Callithrix jacchus: one gene and its partner. The protein of the gene in region 2 interacts with the protein of the main gene of each other region in a biochemical or structural test. Links are inferred from orthologs where the notes say so. Each region holds a gene or a part of one and is shown on either strand. Other genes may lie near its edges.

Region 1 (9,647 bases), on a different chromosome or scaffold from region 2:
GCATGACAAATTATTCTAAAATTTAGTGCCTTAAAACAACATCATCTTAAAGTCGCTGCAGGTTAGGAATCTAGGTGCAGTTTAGCTGGGTCTTCCCCGCCCACAACCCACCCCCTCCCCCGGCTTTTTTATTTATTTTTTTATTTTTTGCAGAGACAGGATCTTACTTTGTTGCCCAGGCTGGTCTCCTGGTTTCAAGCGATCCTCCTGCCTCAGTCTTCCTGCTTCAGCCTCCCAAAATACTGGGATTACAGGATTGAGCTGTCACACCTGGCCCCTATCTAGGTCTTTTTTTAAAAAAAAAGAAAAAACAACGGAGTTTTGCTCTTATTGCCCAGGCTGGAGTGCGGGGGTGTGATCTCAGCTCATTGCAACTTCCATCTATCTCCTGGGTTCAAGCAATTCTCCTGCCTCAGGCTCCCAAGTAGCTGGGATTACAGGCGCGTGCCACCACACCCAGCCAATTTTGTCTCCTGGTTTCTGCTTTATTTGTTGTTCCTAGTATAAGAAAAAAAGCAACCTTGATGTTATTGCACACATTATAGGCTGGAACACACACAGCATTCTTGACTGTTCTGGAGGGCTGCCTTTAATTGTCTTGACAGCATATTTACTATTTCCCCATTGTATATAATCCTTAGGTCTGGGAGTAACAGATCTACCTGTCTTGTGGCCACCCAAGACCACGCTTCTGTCTGTAAGTTACCTCAGCAGATTATCCTTCACCACCAAGCTGGATTTGTCAGCCTCCTTTGGTTTCTTGGCTTCTTTGGTATTTGGGGGTCTCTCTGCATATCTGGCCCTTTTGCAGAACACTGGCTCACTCACATGTTTATTGGTAGGATTCAGTTTCTCATGAGCTGTCTGCTGGAGGCTTCCCTTGGTCCTTGCCACAGAGGCCTCTCCGCAGAACATCTCACAACATGGCAGCTTATTTTCTCAGAATAAGCAAGAGACTTTTAATTACTTTGAAAACAATGAATTTAGAAAAAAATCAAATGTGTGGGCTGGGCATGAACAAGAGGCATGGATAGATTTGCAGGTGGGGACAGGATGTTTCCGAGCCTGGTGACCCTTCTGCAGGTGGGTGGACCTCTGTGCCTGGCTGATCAGCTGTGTGGGATGCTTCCCACATCTCTAAGTCTCTTCCATATCATACCGAACACAAGAAACAGCCTGGGTGGAAATGGGGGAAGTCCTAATCCCAGAGGGGAGCAGTGTCATCCCACCTAGCAAATGACTGAGAAGAAGAGCTCATGGTAAATGTGCTTAGCTTCACAAGCTGCCAAAGGGCACAGGAACCACTGATCATTCTGTGTAGAATTCATCTCCTGGGAGCTCCCTACTGCTGATGGACATAAACACCCAGGAGGGGGTCTCTGGAGTTTCCTTGGGATTTCATCACAAGAAGACTCCTCTTTGGGGAGTCAGCTTGCTTTGAAGGTAACTGCTCCTTTCCTGCCAAAAACAGTTACCTGAAGCACAGAATGTATTACAGAGAGGTACTATGGTAAACACTGGTGAAAATGGAGGGGTTGGGAGCAGCAGAACCCACTGTACCCTCATCCCAGCAGCTGATACTGAACACTTTCTGTGTCTTAGGGATGGTTCCAAGTGCTTTCACACATTATCATTTCACTTCACCTGTGAAGTAGGCACTGTGTTTCCAATTTTCTTGATGAGAAAACTTGCACAGACAGGTTTATAAATCACCCAAGGTCACCAAGTGGATAAGTGGCTGACCTGGGGTTTGAACTCAGCTGCCTGTACTCCCAGCCATTTGACCATACTGCCTCCAGGAGAGGGCTTCTCTCCAGCACAGCCTAAAAACGAATGAAAAATACCAGCATTCATTGAGTCCTTATTGTGTTTCCCAGGGCTAGGAGAAATGCCATGGGAAACATTTGGTGTTTCTGAGTGGCAGGGTGGCTCCTGGAGTGTGAATTTTGTGTGTATGTAAAATATACATAACATCAAATGTACTATTTAAGCCATTTTAAATGTACAGTTCAGTGGCTTTAAGATTTTTGTATTATTGAGGTGAAATTCATGTAACATAGAGATGTTAAAATTTTTAAATTTTAAATTAAAAAAAATTTCAATTAATTTTAAAATAAGGCCATTTAAAAATTTTTATTTTTTTGTTTGTAGTTTTTTTGTAGATACAGGGTCTCCCTATCTTTGCCCAGGCTGGTCTCAAACTCCTGGGCTCAATCAATCCACCCGTCTCGGCCTCCCAAAGTGCTGAGATTATAGGTGTGAGCCGCCACATCTGACCAAAATATTAGCCATTTTAACGTGAACTAGTTGGGGGCATTTAGGACTTTCACGGTATTGCACAGCCACCACTTTGGAAAGTTCAAATACTTTCATTACCCCAAAAGGAAGCTCTGTACCTAATAAGCAGTTTCTCCCTATTCCCTCTCCCTCCTGTCCTGGTAACCACCAGTCAGTGTTCTGTCTCTATGGATCTACCTATTTTGGATATTTTATATAACTTGAATCATAAAATATGTGACCTTTTGTGTCTAACTTCTTTTACTTGAAGTACTTTTGAGGTTCATCCACATCATGTATCAATACTCCTTTTTTATGACTGCATAATATTTTCTTGTGTGATATATATACAATTTATCCATTCATCCATTGACGGGGATTTGGGCTGTTTCTACCTTTAGGCTATTGCAAATAGTGCTGCTATGAACATGTGTGTACATGTACTTATTTGAGTAGCTGCTTTAAACTCTTTTGGGGGGTACTTAGGAGTGGAATTGCTGGGTTATATAGCAATTCTTTTTTGTTTGTTTATTTTTGGTTTTTGGGATAGAGTCTTGCTCTGTCACCAGGCTGGAGTGCAGTGGCGCAACCTCGGCTCACTGCAACCTCCACCTCCCAGGTTCAAATGTTTCCTCTGCCTCAACCTCCTGAGTAGCTGGGACTACAGCCACGTGCCACCATACCCAGCTAATTTTTTGTATTTTAGTAGAGATGGGTTTCACCATGTTGGCCCGGATGGTCTAGATCTTCTGACCTCGTGATTCGCCCACCTCGGCCACCCAAAGTGCCAGGATTACAGGCATGAGACACTGCGCCCGGCCAATTATATGGTAATTCAACATTTAACTTTTTGAGGAGTCACCAAATTGGTAGGTGACATTTTGACATTAAAATCTTTCATTGGGACCTTGATTATGAATAAGAGAAGTATGTGTGGTATAGTGAAGATGCAGACTGGCCTGGTTTTGAATTTCTTCTTTACCACTTGTTAATAGCATGTGCATAGCTTAGTCATGAGTCTCTTTGAGGCTCAGTTTTCTTATCTGTAGAAATGGAGATGTTGATAACAATCATTCATTCATTCATTCATTCATTCATTCATTGAATCTGTCGAGGGCTCACTGTGGGCCAGGCACTGGAGATATAGTGAGAATTCATAGAGTTTACAGAATGAGGGGTCAGGAGAGAAAGGGAAGGGCCCAAGGGTTAATTATTTTGGAAAGGGAAAAATTATTTTGTCATGGGAGTAATCACTCCCTGACATCATAGGTACACAGTGAGTACACCAGTGGGCCCGCACGTTATTCCTCTCTATCCCAGCACCAAATACAAGACCTACAAAAACAGATATGTTATTTAGGGTTCTGGGGTTGTAAGCAATAGAAACTGACTAGCTCAGTTTAACAAGGATTACTAGGAAATGATTGGGATCGCTCCAGAATCAAAAGAAGAGCTAAACAATCCTCAGGGAGGCCCTGAAGAGCCCAGGCAGTGACAGGAATTTCAGTGACAACTGTTTGTGGCCCAGCCTCTCTCGGGGCTCTTCCTTAGATAGCCTGCTCCAACCTTTGCCTCCCACCTGAGAGTCTCCTGCCCTAGTTCCCAATGTCTGATTGCCCCAGCTCAGGGCACATGGGGCAGGGCTGCTGCCTATAATTGCAATTAGGCTTTGTAAACTTCAGGGGTTACTCATCATAGTCATCAGAGGTTTGAACACTCATTGTGACAATTTTCTAGTAAATAGCACTAAAGTGTCTTGAGGAAAGATGTCTTTGTTCAAAGTCACAGTTGGGGCAAAAAGAGTAAAACTCTACCTGGGACTGAAAGTGAAAATCAACTTGTCCTGGAAAAGAAACAGCAGGTTAAGAGGACAGAAAAGTTAAAGCCACCTACAAAGCCTGCAAGAAACCTTGTTCCTCCCAAAGTCATGTAGTGGCTGTGAAATGCTATAAGGACCCTCTGAAAGTGGCCACTGCTCTCTTTGCTAGGACCGAGGACAAAGGCAGAGGCATGCTTTGCTATTCTCATCTAATACTGGGGATAACCAACTGCTCAGCCACCCTGGCCTCATGACAATGCTCAATCCCTGGTTAATCCTTGCTCCTCTTAATCCCTTATCCAAAACAGCATCCAATCCAGAACTGATTCCTGCTTTCCTTCAACCCTCTTTAGAATCCTTGGGCAGGAACCCACATCTTGCAAGAAAGCTGCCCTCCTTCTGGAGATCTTCCGGAGTGCCCCACCTCACTGCTTGGAGACAAGAAATCTGATTTCGTCAGACTGTAGGCTCATTCCTGGTGGTCTCTGGCTGATCAAGTTTTAAAAAACCTGTCAGGGATTGGAATAGAGGATTGTGATTGGCAGTCCCACCAGAACAATGGGATGGGGGTAGGCAGTTCCCCAAAGGAAAATGGAGTGCTGTCATCAGGAAAAGGTAAAGGTATTGAGCATCCAGACCCAATGGACAGCTCTTGGAGTAGGTGCTCAGTTAATGCTAATTGTTATTTGTGAGGTTGTGTTTTGGAGACACTACAGCAAATTATATAAAATTATAATTATAATAATGCATAATAATGATTATTTGCCATGTGCCAGGCACGGTATGTCTACTACCTCATTTGATTCTTAGCAAACTCACACTTACTTTATAGGTCTCCCCAGTTTCCAGGACATGCTATCTGTGTAGGGAGAGTCATCCAGCCTCAGTGCTGGTGATGTCCCACTCATCAAAGGGACACAAAGAAAAGATGGCAGGTTGCTGTCATCTCAGGATACCATTTCGGTATCTAGGCCAGCCTGACAGCGCTCCTTGATCCCTGTGGATCTCCGTGTGGCCATGTGAAGTCCAAAGTGGCTTCAGCCCCAACTCAGTCTGCTTCAGGGCAGGAACCCATGCTCTGCTCTGGCAGCACTAACGACAATAATAATCACTAAAAACACTTAGAGGCTGTTTTACTACCTGCCAAGGACTGTGCTAAGAGCTTTCCATGTGTCATCTCATTTAACAGATGAGGAAACTGAGGCCTGAAGATGTTCCTTATGAAGGTCACACGGTTGATAAATGACAGAGCCAGGACTCGAATCAGAAGCTATCTAGAGCTCATAGGCTAAACCACAGGCTGTATTGCTCGGCTGATCTGTGACCACCTGTAAATGCAGCCTCTTAATAGCTTTTACTTGTTATGTGCACATTTATATGTGAATATATATATATATATATATATATATATATTTTGAGGTGGAGTCTCGCTCTGTCACTCAGGCTGGAGTGCAGTGGCTCAATCTTGGCTCATTGGAACTTTCGCCTCCTGAATTCTTGCAATTCTCTTGCCTCAGCCTCCCGAGTAGTGGGATTATGAGCACGCACCGCCATGCCCGGCTAATTTTTTGCATGTTAGTAGAGACAGGGTTTCATCGTGTTGCCCAGGCTGGTCTCAAACTCCTGACCTCAGGCAATCTGCCTGCCTTGGCCTCTCAAAGTGCTGGGATTACAGGCATAAGCCACCATGCCCGGCCATGTGAATGTATTTTTAAGTGAATTAATGTATAAAGCCTAATTAGCACAAGGACTTGCTCATGAGACTGTTGTTATTATTGTTATTATTATTATTATTTTTTTTTAAGATGGGGTTTCACCACATTGAATTCCCGACCTCAGGTGATCCGCCCGTTTTGGCCTCCAATGTGCTTGGATTACTGGCGTGAGCCACCATGCCTGGCCTATTATTTTTATTATTTTGAGATGGGGTATCACTCTTGTCACCCAGGCTGGAGTACAGTGGCACAATCATGGCTCACTGCAGCCTCGACCTCCTGGGCTCAAGTGATCCTTCCATCTCAGCCTCCCAAGTAGCTAAGACCACAGGCATGCACCATACCTGGCTAATTTTTCTTTTTTTTACTTTTGTAGAGATAGAGGAGGTCTTACTATATTAACCTAAGTTGGTCTCAAACTCTGAGCTCAAGCACTCCTCCTACCTTGCTTCTCAAAGTGCTGGGATTATAGGCATAAGCCACCATGTCTAGACAAGACTGTCATTATTATTTCAATTACAAATGAATGTGTTCTTGACAAGTGTATAAGTCAAATCCTATTCTGTTTGTAACTTTAGCTTGATTCCCATTTCATCTTCATTGCTCAGCAATGCACAGTTCACCACAGCTCTTAAATGCTCTCTATCTCTCCCCTGAACATCTGCCAGACTGCTCCCTTGCACGCTTAATATGGCAAACACAGGCAAGTTTCTGAAAAATAAGAGCATCTCTTAGCAAATTCTTTAGGGAAGGAAAGAATCCTGTTGTCATGGGATATATGTCCTCACCCTCTAATTTTTCTGTTCATAATCTCAGGAATCCTCTCCAGGATTTGAGGATCAAAACATGGAACAGAGTCTATGACCACTGTTCCACACACTAGGAAAAGCCCGGGGAGTCTTTTTGTCACTGACAGTAGCCAGCATGGCTCAGACTGTGGGCTCTGGCCATCAGCAACACCTTCCTTGTGGGCATCTGGGTAAAGATGCAGGCTCCAGGGTCCACCTTGACTTACTGGGGCCATGTCTCAAGGATGGTGCCTATGACTCTGCATTTTTAGCACATTTCCTAAGCTATAGTCTTATTCTAACATTAAGGGGAGGAACCTGGGGCAGGACTGCAATCACCATTAGAGGTGCGAGTATGTTTACAAAGTGCCTCATAGATTACTGCCTTTCTGTAACTGGAGCCAGGTTTGTCTGCTCTACTCTGCATTCAAACACCAAGCACCACCAGGTGCAGTGGCTCACGCCTGTAATCCCAGCACTTTGGGAGGCTGAGGTGGTGGATCACCTGAGATCAGGAGTTCAAGACCAGCCTGGCCAACATGGTGAAACCCCATCTCTACTAAAAATGCAAAACTTAGCTGGGTGTGGTGGTGGGTGCCTGTAATCCCGGCTACGCAGGAGGCCGAGGCAGGAGAATTGCTTGAAACCAGGAGACAGAGGTTGCAGTGAGCTGAGATCACCACTGTGCTCCAGCCTGGGCAACAGAGCAAGACTCCATCTCAAAAAAAAAAAAAAAAAAAAAGCCAAACATAAGAGGTGAACTAGCATTCTAAAGGACCATCTTAAATTTTAATACTTACCATTGGGCTTTTAAAGGGAAACTTGGTATGGGAGACGTGGGAGCAGTACATGGTGCAGTATTTGTGTATCTGTGTTTCTTGTTCTGATGGCTGTCTTGGCTAATTGGGCTAATTGCCTGTTCTGAGGTCTGGCTGGTGTTACCTTGATTTTGGCCTGATGGTGATGGACTAATTGTTCGTGACTCGCCCTAAACAGGATTCCAAAAAGGGGACTCCGTGCCTGGTTTCAAGATTAGTCTCTGGGATTTCTTAAGCAAGAGCATAATTAGATCACCTTAGCACGCATAGCCAGAGGGAGTGTCCACAGGGGAGAAAAAGGAAGAGATGAGAGGGGAAGGAAGGAAGAAAAAGAAGTGAGTCTTTCAATAGCAAAGACATGGAATCAACCCAAATGCCCATCAACGATAGACCAGATAAAGAAAATGTGGTATGTATACACCATGGAACACTAAACGGCCATAAGAAGGAATGAGATCATGTCCTTTGCAGGGACATGGATGAAGCTGGAAGCCATTATCCTCAGCAACCTAACACAGGAACAGAAAACCAAACACTGCATGTTCTCACTTGTAAGTGGGAGCTGAACAATGAGAACACATGGACACAGGGAGGGGAACAACACACCTGGGCCTGTCAGGGGAGTGCAGTAGCGGGGAGAGTATTAGGAAAAATAGCTAATGCATGCAGGGCTTAATACCTAGGTGATGGGTTGATAGGTGCAGCAAACCACCATGGCACACATTTACCTGTGTAACAAATCTGCATATCGTGCACATGTACCCTAGAACTAAAAACTAAAAAAAAAAAAAAGAAGGACTGGGCACGGTGGCTCATGCCTGTAATCCCAGCACTTTGGGAGGCCAAGGCAGATGGATCATGAGGTCAGGAGTTTGAGACCAGCCTAGCCAATATGGTGAAACCCCATCTCTACTAAAAGTACAAAAAATCAGCTGGGTGTGGGGGTGTATGCCTGTAGTCCCAGCTGCTTGGGAGGCTGAGGCAGGAGAATTGCTTGAACCCAGGAGGCAGAGGTTGTGGTGAGCTGAGATCATGCCACTGCACTCTAGCCTGGGCAACAGAGCAAGGCTCTGTCTCAAAAAAAAAAAAAAAAAAGTGAGTATTGTGTTCTTTTGTTTTCTTGAGACAGGGTCTCTCTTTATCACCCAGGTTGGAGTGCAGTGGTGCAATCTCAGCTCACTGCAACCTTGACTTCCCAGGTTCAAGCGATGCTCCCATCTCAGCTTCCCAAGTAGCTGGGACTACAGGGGCACACCACCACGTCTGGCTAATTTTTGTATATTTTTTCGTAGAGACAGGGTTTCACTATGTTGCCCAGGCTAGAAAAGTGGGTGATTTTTAAAACTAAGGTCCCCAGTTACATTTTTTAGAGGTCTGTGATTTTGCTCTCACATCTTCTGCACAACTTTTTTTTTTTTTTTTAACAGTCCAGAGGTCTTTCATTTTTTTAACACTTATTACACCATGAATTCATAGGGAAGAGGTTCCAGCAGCTCAGGCTTCTTCCCATTGGTTCTCACAATGTGTGCGTCTCTGGGTGGAGCAGGCTGGCGCTTCAGTTGAACCCAGGTACCCTTCTCTTTGGCTTCTTTCTTTTTCTGATCATTTTCCTTCACACGTTTCAGGAAGCTATCTCAGCTCTTAGAGTGCTTGATGTGCTCAATACGCACATTAATTCTCTTGGCAAGAATCTTGCCCTTAACTTGTTTGTTTAAAAATATGGAACGCTTCACAAATTTGCGTGTCATCCTTGCGCAGGGGCCATGCTAATCTTCTCTGTATCGTTGCAATTTTAGCATATGTGCTGCTGAAGCAAGCACTTCTGCACAACTTTTTATCATGGCCTCATTAGTTTTGTTGCCATCAACTTCCTTATTACACTGTGCTTCTAAGACTCTACCTCTGAAGAATGTGGTGGGAGAGCAAGCACTGTCTCTGTTTCTCCTTCCAAAAGGCTGTTTACAAAGGATCTAACATCTTCCCAAGCCTCTCAGACTTTTTCTTATTTCTTCTGGTCTTTGTTGCCACTGTTCCATTGTTGGGGAGGTTGGAAGGGTGCCTCTAGAGTATGCAAAAGACCCATTCCGCTTGTGAAGCTCAAGGATGAAATTTATATGAAATCAGTTTTGGATTTGAGGCACTGGTAATTTATAACTAATTTAATATGAACTGGACTGAGAGAACTGGAGCCTGTTTGTTTTATCTCCCTGACTGGCCTTCCCCTCCCTCC
Region 2 (10,298 bases):
GAGGAGGCAGAGAGTGTGAGGTAGAAAGATCAGGTAGGCGATAATTATTGAGAGATGTTGGCTTGGACGAGGACATTAGCAGTGGGCAGGGGAGTGAGAAGGAGTGGACATTTTCACCATATATTTTTGAAAGCAGAGTCAACAGAATTTACTGAAGAATATGAGGCTGAGTGTAAAACAGAGAAGGTTCAGAGACAGGGGAAGTTCTGAGGACAAGAACTTTTCTCTTCTATTGAATGTCATATACCTACCACATAGACAGTGCCTGGTATCAATAAATATTCCTTGAATAAATGAAAAGAGTAATTTATTTGTACTAAACCCATTTTGAACTTAGTAAATAGCAGTTAAAACATCTACAATCAAATGAAGTGTTGTAGCAACCATAATTTCAGCAATTAAGCAGTGAAATGTCTTCCAATCCTTTCCTCCACAAAGATGGAAGTTTACTTTGCTGCATCCCATTGCCAACGACCCAGCACTCCAGTGGTAAGAGAGGCTAGAGGTGGGGGTGGGAGAAACTTCATGGAAGCTGAGTTTGCAAAGCAGGTACATACTTTTTTTTTAACGGTTATTTAGGGTGAGGAGTACAAGCGAACCTAATGTTCCTTCAGGCCACCTACAGCACTGCAACTGTTCCCACATACTTCAACTGGGCATGAAGACGGCTTCCCACTCACTCTGACAGTGTTGCACCCTGTACCCACCGCCCGTCTCTTCAATAACCCAGGGCTAAACGGCACGAAGATCCTCTCTACCGGCTGGTGTGCATTCTGGGCTAGGTCCAGCCAAAAGGCAGAAAGGCCTTCGTGCTGCAGTCTCGGGTGAAGAGACAGGCTCAGTCTGGACGAACTTTCCAGGCCATCGTGAAGTTTTCCCGTCTTGGGTGCATGCGGGCCCCACGCGTCTGCGAGTTTGGGTTAGTGTGTCCACAGGGTCAGTCCCGGTAGCTACTTCGCGAAAGCTTCGAGGCGAGTGTGAGGTCAAGGACTGCGGTGGATGGGTGTAAAAGGCCTCCTTGTCCCCCTGCCTGCACCGTCTGGGGGCAACCCCCAACCCCCGGCCAGCGTTTCCCTTTAACGCGCGTGACCGTCAAGGTCCTCTCGTCCCCCTCAGCCTCGGTTTCCCCCACTTCTCCCTGTCCTTGTCGTCCCTTCCCCGTGGGACGCCCCTCGCCCACCGCGCCACAGCCCGGCCTGCGCGAGGGACCCAGCTGTCACTTTACTTTTCCGCGCCGCCTCTTCACCCCCTCTCACGGCCGGCGGGGCAGCCCGCCGGGGCGCGCGCCCGCCCCCGCCCCCTCGCGGCCGCGCGCCGAAGGAGGAGGGGCGCGGGGAGGAGGGAGGCGCGCGGCGCCGCACGGCCGACGTGGGGCTCGCGCTCTCGCGGTCTCTCCCGGGCGGGCGCCCGGGCACGCGCAGTCGCGGGCGCGCGCGCGGACGGCCGGGCGGCGGCGGCTCCCAGAGGTGGTGGCTTCACTTTCCAGGACTCAGGGGCAGCCACAGCGACAGCCGCGGGCAGCAGCCTCAGGAGCCGGAGCTGGAACGGCCGGGGGCGGCGGCAGCGGCGGCGCTAAGGGTGAGTCCGGGCGGGCGCGAGCGCGGCGGGGACAGGCGTGGTCGGGTGCGTGGTGCGTGGGTCCGGCTTTCGGTGACTAGACGGTCCGCAGGGGACATCCCGTCCCTGGGGCCTCCCTAGGCTCCCCCCGCTCGCGCCTCAGCAGCTCTCTCCCCGGGCTTCGGCTTGAGCCCGCGACCTGCGCGGACACCCCCCTCAGGTATTCGCTCGGGCCGCGCCGGTGCCTCCCCTCCTCGGGCGTCCTCCCTCTCGCGGGCGTCCTCCCCACTTCCCCGACCTCCCCTCCGCGCCGCAGGTCTCTGCTTACACCACTGGCGTCCTAGTTCCCTCCTTCCTCGCTCCCCGTGCCCGGTTCTCTGCGCCCCCTCCCGCGAGCCTCCTGCCCCCGTTTCTCGCCCTTTCTACCCCTCCCCCTCTTTCCCATCCCCCCCCCTTCTGCCTCTTCACTCCCTGTCCTCCTTCTACCCCCTTCCGTTCTCAGTTCCCCATCCTTCCCCACCCTCCCAGCGCCTTCCTTCTCCTGGCCGCATCCTGGAACTAAGTCTTTGCAAAAGTACAGGATAAATGTCACGGTGGAAAGTGCCCGGCTTGATCTTTTGCTATTTTCCCTAATTGCATAATTGCTGCACATGGTGTCTCTCCTGGCGAGTGCCGGGTCTGGCGGCTCCGCCGCCGCACCCCGGTGGCCCGCCCGGAGAAGACCTTGTGGGGTATATTTGTGTGTGTCCTGGTGTGGGGTGTGTGTTGTATTGGTCTTTTGTGATGCCTGGCGCTTGTCACAGTTTGGAACCGAAGCCCATTTTTCTCTGGTCTCTTCTCTGCAGCTCCGCTGGCCTGGTTTGAAACTGGATTCCCTCTGTCCTCTTCCCCTTCTCCCTCCTCCACCCACTTCTCCCCCTCTCTTCTCTCCTCTCTCTGGTAATGTTTTGATCCTTTTGCCCTTTACCATTTCTAATGAAGATAAAGCGTGGCTTCTTGTGGCTTTTTTTTCCCACGACCAACCAGAAATGTCCAATCCATCTTCCGTTAAGGAAATTAAGGTCGCTTTAGAAAGACATCATCCTGTGCTCGGTGGCTGTTAGACCCATTTGCATGTTTCCAAGACTCGTCGTTTTGTATTGTGTGTTCTTGAGAGTCTATTCAAATATTTTTATTTAAAAGTACGAAAGGAAGTGCTAGGGTTTACCCTCAGATTGTCTCGCGGTTCAGAAAGATTTTACGCTCTTCTTAGTATTTAATCCCTGATTCTTTAAAAAGTGTGTTTCTAGATATGTGATAATTCAGTCAAGACTTTGTGAATCTAAATATTTGCCTTTACTACGACAATTTGAATGCACCTTGGCTCTTTGGAGTTCTGTATGTAGGCTGTTGCTTAAAATGGAGTGTTTTCATGTAATGTCATACCCCATTCTCTCTCTCCTGCTGCACCTTTTAACCTCAAATCAGGTGTTCCACTGTTATGTTCTGCATAAATGTCTTTGCAGTTAAATTTAAAGCTGGATATTGCTGTGTGCATATACTGTGTACTATTTTGTTTTATATTTTTGAAAAGTTTAGAAACGTGAGTAGGAAGACAAGATATATATGACAGAATTAAACGCTTTCCTGTTATAAAAGCTCAAGTGAACCCTTGTTTTGCAGTTTCGTACTAGTAGATACTGTTATAAGGCTTATCTGGATGGTAGTCTGAATTTATGGAATGACTGTAGTTGGCTTTATGTAGTCAGTGATACTTCAAGCCAAATCATTTCATTTTTATGGAACATGTGAGTTTCATTCACTGTATGTTGCTAATTTCCAGGACTGTAATTACAACATAGAGTACATAGCTAATACAGGTTTAGTTTGTGTTGAAGAAGGAACAGAAAGTAAGTCTCTTAAAATAGTTTTAGGAAGGACTACCTTACTATTTTATGTTTAAAAATCAAGTTTTACTTTGAGTTATGAAATAAGCATATTAATTTATATATCTCAGTATCTTTGAAACTATCATTGGAGAGTAACTCTTTGTTTCTACCCCTGGGATTTAAGTTTATCTTCCCTGTAGATTAGATAATCGGCTCAGATTAGCTGTTAGGAGTTTATTTTAAAATGCTAATTTAGAAGATAATGTTTAAAGAACTTTAAGTTAGGAATTTTTATTCATTTGTACTTTAGAGAGACATCAATTTTACACTTATGACTAATTAAAATGATTTATAGACTACTTTTTCTTCATGAAAATTTGTTTCACCTGAGTGGTACAACAATTTTTTTCTATACTTTTTCTGTAATCAAGTACTCAAAAAACAAACCCAGGAGAAATTCCTTTTATTAGTAATATTTGAAAAAGAGATGTGAAAACTATTTCTAAAAGTTCCCATAGTGGTTATCAGTGGCCTGAGATGGATTCATCATTTGTAGGTTAACATTTGGATGAAATAAGATATCTTAAGTCAAAAGTGGAAATAATTCTTTTCCTTAATGTAAAACTAGAAATTATGCCTCTTTTGGGGCATTTTTAATAGTATTTTTATTAGTTCTCTAGTGAGACTAATTTTTACTTCAGGCTTCCTTTGATATTTGGCAGTAGTTTATGAAATTTGGGTTTCACATTATGGCTCAGATCGTATCATTGAGTAATCTTTATAAGGAATTATGTAACTATGGCATTATTTGATAGTATGTAAATGCACATAAATAAGAATATTAAGAAGAATGTGTGGCTTTATAACTAATGTGATACACAACTGAAACTCTCAGCATAGTTTATTAAATCTTACTTTATTAAACTGAAGCTGCAGCCTCAGTGTAGAGAATATTATTTCATTGAGGTTCCCATATATTTGTCATGTAATGGATTGCTTGTGGTTTAAAATGTATAAAATGATGTCTCATTTCACAATTCTTAAGGTATTGCTGGCAGCATTTTGCTGTATCTGAGCACCTTTCCCTGAGTATTGTTCTCTTTTTCACTCCCATGCATGCCACCCTATCTGATATGCTATTATGTACATACTTTCAAGGTTTCAAACATCTGATAAAATTTAACTGAAAGAAGTAAGGTGAAAGAAAAACAATGTTAAATCCAAGAATAAGAATTTAGAGTGAAATAAAACTGAAAAAAAGCAAGAAATATGTTACGATTTTTAGAGCTAGCGGTGAAACATACTGATATAAAATTTCAGCATTCTATTAAGTGACTTTAGTGCTCATAAAAGATGTCACAGCTGTAGAGACTGATGCTCTTCATTTACAGAATAGGTAGAAAAGTAGTCAGCTTTTCCGTTAGTGTGTTTCAGAACTGTTGGGGCAGACCTGTTTTTGTTTGGCATGGGGAGCTGTTGTAGTTGAAGGGGTGCTGGTGGTGGTGTATGTGGTGTGTCAGTGAAAGCATTCACTGTTTTCTTTTGACTCTTTGCCTCTCTATGCTTCCTGATGCTTCCATTCTTTTCATTGCTTTCTGATTTGTCTTATAAAAATTTCAATCCATTAAAGATCCATGTTACAACATTGCTTTTGCTTAGAGCAAGCTACAAGTTAAATCTTTGTTAATGATGAATTTTAATTAGTGTCAAATAGCTATCTATTTGGACTAAATTATAGTAATTAAAATTTTTGCTTTATTTGAAGTATTTTTATGTATTCTTATTCTTGATCATATCAGAAACAGTTTTATTTGAACTTCTAATTTGATTAATCAAAAGAATCCATTTCAAAAGGAATTTGTTCAGTGTACCTATAATTTTTAAAGGTGTATTTTGTGTTAATGGTACTTGTTAAGCATAGGTAGTTTTGTTTTCAAAGAGGTGTCTGAGAAGGTAGCTATACAGTGCTCAAAGTGATTATTAGGTGATAAACCGTGGTAAGCACAAGGCCTTTTAGAGTCTGGACATAGGTTTTGTTGGTTCCGTTCTGGATTTGTCAGAATACTCTAAGCTAGTTAGCTCATAAGGGATGTATTCATAGTAATCAAACTCAGAAATTGATTATGATAGAATGGCAGTTGAGAAGAGATATTCCTTTTCACTTACAGGAATTGTGTCTGCTGTCTAGGTTATAACAGCTACCTAAATATCAAGGTATTTCGGAAATTGAGTTGGTAATCAGAGCTGCTCGGGGAGCATGAACTCAGAGGAGAGGGAATTTGAAAGCCTTGAGGAATATTTTAACCGGACTGTGAAAAAAAAAATTCTTCAGCGTCTCCATCTCTTATGAAAAATGGTTGCTTTAGTATACAGCTGAATCAATGCTGACACCATCATACGGTTCAGTTTTTATTTAGAATCATGCAGTCATGTAGACCTTTGTGTTCATCTGTTATTGCAAAGGTCACTTAAAATAATTTACTAGTTTGGAGAATTTTAACCATAACCCAGTGCTGAGGATGTACTGATTTGAATAGGGATTTTTAAGTGTCCACCCATTTTTCTGTTCCCACAGCTTTTTGTACAAACCTTCGTTTTAGTACTTAGCAAGTTGACTGGGCCAGGTTTTTCATAGTTGTAGGACCAAAGGGCTTAGCACAGCACCAGGTAGAGAGTAGACCCTTAATCATTTTTTTCCTATTTTTTATAACAGCATTATTATATGTAATTCATATACCATAAAATTTACCCTTTAAAAATGTAAAACTCTGTAGTTCTTAGAATATTTACAATTAGAATCATGCAATGTTACCATTATCTAATTTAAGAACATTTATATCACCCCAAAGGGAAGTATCATACCCATTAGCAGTCAATCCTCACTACTCTCCCTCCCCTCACTCCCTGGCAACCACTTACCCTCTTTATTTTTTTTATTAATTTTGTTTCCTTTGATACAGGGTATTACTCTGTCACTCAGGCTGGAATGCAGTGATAGTAATCTTTTTTTTTTTTTTTTGGTAGAGATTGAGTCCCACTATGTTGCCCAGGCTGTTCCTGCCTGGGCTTCCCAAAGCATTGGGGATTACAGGCATGAGATCTGCTTACTGAATTTTGTGTTTATGGATTTGCCTAGTCTGGACGTTTCATATAAATAGTCAAACAGTTTGTGGTCCTTTGTGGCTGGCTTCTTTCACTTACGATAATGTTTCAAGGTTCATCCATTTTGTAGCACGTAGACACTGTACTTCATTCTTTTTTATGGCTAATAGTACATTATGTGGATATACTACTACATTTTGTTTATCCATTCATCCCTTAGTGGATATTTGAGTTGTTTCCAATTTTGGTTATTATGAATAATGTCGCTGTGAACATTTCATGTATAAATTTTGTATGCTTTCATTTTACAATATACTTTGAATGGATGAAAGAAAAGTTATAGCAACTCTCAAAACTGCATTGTTTTGTAAATGACCAATTTATCCATTTTATATTGAGATTTACTTGTTTTCTTTGAGGCTCATTCTGTGTGTCATGGAAGTAGCGTACTGTAATTCTCCTCACAGCGGAATAAATGATTTTTGATTCTTTAATCTAGGATCTAAAATGTCCACTGAGGCACAAAGAGTTGATGACAGTCCAAGCACTAGTGGAGGAAGTTCCGATGGAGATCAACGTGAAAGTGTTCAGCAAGAACCAGAAAGAGAACAAGTTCAGCCCAAGAAAAAGGAGGGAAAAATATCCAGCAAAACCGCTGCTAAGTTGTCAACTAGTGCTAAAAGGTACCTCAGTTATTGTAACCTTTTTATTTTTGGTATCAGTTTATCATCTTAAGTTCTACTTTTCTTTTGCATTTAATCATTTTTTCCGGGATATTTAAGCCATGAACTTCATGGATTTTTCTTTCCCCTTACAGACGATCTTTTTTACATGGTTTTAACCATAGGGAACTTAAGTATTTAAAGTCAGTTAAATGGCATGGCAGATTCATAAAATACATATCCATAGTATGTTTGTGTTTTTGTGTATCATTAAGGAAGCATATACAGGATGTGCATGTAAAATTGCAGTGGTTTCATTTACAGTTACTTGACCATAAATTTTTTTTTCCTGTTCAGTAACACAGAATAGAGATTAAGAATCTATTGAAGTAGTTATTGAGTGAATGATAGTTTATTTTCCACTACTCTCAGTTGGTAAAGTCAGAAATGCTGACATTAGCAACAAGTGCATCTTGGTTTCATTACATTAGTCAGTGGGTCTGTCTTGATACACAGTTTCTCTTTCTCTAGAGGAATAGATGGATCTGGAAAGTAGGTATTTGAATGATTTTCTGTTGGTACATCAGTCTCTTAAGATAATTGACATGTCATTGGACTTAAAGGGAATCTGTTTTGATATTGTTACATTATAGAATATCTCTTGGAAAATAATTTGAAAGATAAATATAGTGTCTTTCCTGATTCTGTGATTTTATGTTCTTGCTTTGTTATTGTATGTTTTATATTGATCGAATAGGAAGTACAAATAAAAGTAGTCTAACTTTTAGGCATAGTGGAATGTCAGAATGTTGAATTACAGCTTTATATGTTATTGTATGATGTGGATTAAGGGGAACTCCTTTCTCAAAGATAAAAAAAAAAAACATTATTGGGCCAGGTGCAGTGGCTCAAGCCTGTAATCCCAGCACTTTAGGAGGCTGAGGTGGGTGGATCAAGAGGTCAATAGATTGAGACCATCATGGCCAACATGGTGAAACCCCCTCTCCACTAAAACAATACAAAAAAATTAGCTGGGCCTGATGGCGTGCACCTGTAGTCCTAGCTACCTGGAAGGCTGAGGCAGGAGAATTGCTTGAAACCAGAAAACAGAAGTTTCAGTGAGCCGGGATTGTACCACTGTACTGTAGCCTAGCGATACGGCGAGACTCTGCTTCAAAAAATAAAATAAAATAAAATAAAGCATTATTATAGTTTAGTAGACCTTGTTTCCCTTTGGCTTAGCCAATCAATAGGGTTGGAAAGAACCTTCTCAGATTCCTTGGTGAGAGATGTTGGAGGGATGGTGAAAGGTTATTTAAAGGTACTAGAGTATTCTGTTTCCCTTTCCTGGGAGTGTATTGCTGATCCCTGACCTCTATCGAAGGAGCTGTGTGAAAGCCCTGAATTTAAACTTTTAGTCCTGTATGCTAGAACATGCTAGGGTAGGGAAGAGGGCTCAGTTTGTTTTGCCATCACACCGCAAGTACGAGGGACTCAGCTACCTGACTCTTGTATTGCCTGACCACAACACAAATAAGCTGCTTAGAGGTGACCTGGGAAATGGAGGGTGGGGTTAGGATGGATAAAAAAGGTGGGGAATAGAGAAAATAGGACATTTAGATGAAAGGAGGAGGTTGATGTGGGTGGGTAGATGTTCAGGTACAGATCGTAATTACATGTAGTTTAGGAAAATCTAATTCAGTCCTGAGCGTCTTTAGTCTGTCAGAAAAGGGTAAGGACTGGTTGGCCAGGTCTGTGGGGAATAGGGTTCTGCTGGGCCTATGCTTTGTTCTATGACTGCTAGTTAGCAAAGTCACCTGTTTTGGAGAGGCTCTGCCTTTTCCCCTACCTGGGAGCACCACTATAAAATACCTCAGAATCATATTTCTTGGGTGATAAGTCAAAGACCAAATTCTGCTTATGAAAGATGTACTGCTTAAGAGTTTTTCAAGTATGTGGGTCTTCATTGTACTACAGTTATCTGTAGAAAGTATAGATTATGCAAACCTAATGATAGATTTCATGAGGGAAACATATAGAAGGTTTTTTTTTTTGCATTGTCAAAAAAATACGTCAGATCTAAGACCTAGTTTAGAGATAATGTATGTGCAGAGCCTAGAACAGTGCCTGATTGGCAGTAAATAGAAAGTGGTTGTATTACGTTGATCAAAGTAAGAAGTCTCTTTTGAGTTGTTGCTTCCTGGCTGAAAGAATCCCTCTGTTTGCAAATTCTTGTTAATCTGTGATTTTCAAATTGTGGTTCATGATCTTTCTCTAGAAAGATCTTCAGTTGGTTTTTGGGTGACAGTGTATGAAGTGATATAATAATTTACTATTTATTTTAAATATAAAAATGTGGCTTCACTACTGTTTTTTTTTGAGACGGAGACTCACTCCTGTCGTGCCGGCTGGAGTGGAGTGACACGATCTTGGCTTACTGCCACCTCCACCTCCCACGTTCAAGTGATTCTCCTTCCTCAGCCTCCTCAGTAGTTGGGATTACAGGCGTGCACCACCATGCCTGGCTAATTTTTGTATTTTTGGTAGAGATGGGGTTTTGCCATGTTGGCTAGGCTGGTCTTGAATTACTGACCTCAGGTGATCCACCTGCTTCAGCCTTTCAAAGTGCTAGGATTACAGGCGTGAGCCATCACACCTGGACCACTACTAATGTTTTAATTAAAAAAAATAATATTCTCCCCTCTCTCTTCCTCCAATTCAGTTGACAGTGAAGTTATTAGTTCTTTCCCATTTCTGCTTAAATTCTAAGCACTTAGGAAAAAACTTGGGAATTATGAGGGCAGAGGACTCCCCATCTTTTAGGTTCACTGTCATATCCGTAGTGCCTAGCAGAGTATGGTCACAATATTTATTTACTGATTGCCTTGGAACCCTGAGCTTATTATAGGAATTGGATTCATGAATATTAGGATCTTGGTACTAGTGTGTTCAGAAGATTAAAAGTTAGAGGTAGTTTCAAAATAACTTTTATTTCATACTTTTTGTTGATGATCATTTTTATTTAGATGAAAAGTCTTTCGCAAATAGTGTCATTTAATGAGTAGCATTGAAGAGCTTGAACTCTAGAGACAGGATCTACGTTTGAATC

What was found.
Region 1: the proteins of UBE2E2 (region 2) and RNF14 form a complex in vitro, tested with the Homo sapiens proteins (2 studies listed by BioGRID). The link is inferred for Callithrix jacchus from reciprocal best matches to the Homo sapiens genes UBE2E2 and RNF14.

The regions. Positions count from the first base shown.
Region 1 is NC_133503.1:40,475,991-40,485,637, forward strand, and holds the end of RNF14 (E3 ubiquitin-protein ligase RNF14), read left to right. Parts: intron 1-641; coding exon of another isoform or gene 642-653; exon of another isoform or gene 654-2,114; intron 2,115-2,983; exon of another isoform or gene 2,984-3,107; intron 3,108-4,449; coding exon 4,450-4,563; 3' UTR 4,564-4,838; downstream 4,839-9,647. UniProt on the Homo sapiens protein: E3 ubiquitin-protein ligase that plays a key role in the RNF14-RNF25 translation quality control pathway, a pathway that takes place when a ribosome has stalled during translation, and which promotes ubiquitination and degradation of translation factors on stalled ribosomes.
Region 2 is NC_133518.1:61,540,241-61,550,538, forward strand, and holds the start of UBE2E2 (ubiquitin-conjugating enzyme E2 E2), read left to right. Parts: upstream 1-1,417; 5' UTR 1,418-1,578; intron 1,579-7,026; 5' UTR 7,027-7,034; coding exon 7,035-7,210; intron 7,211-10,298.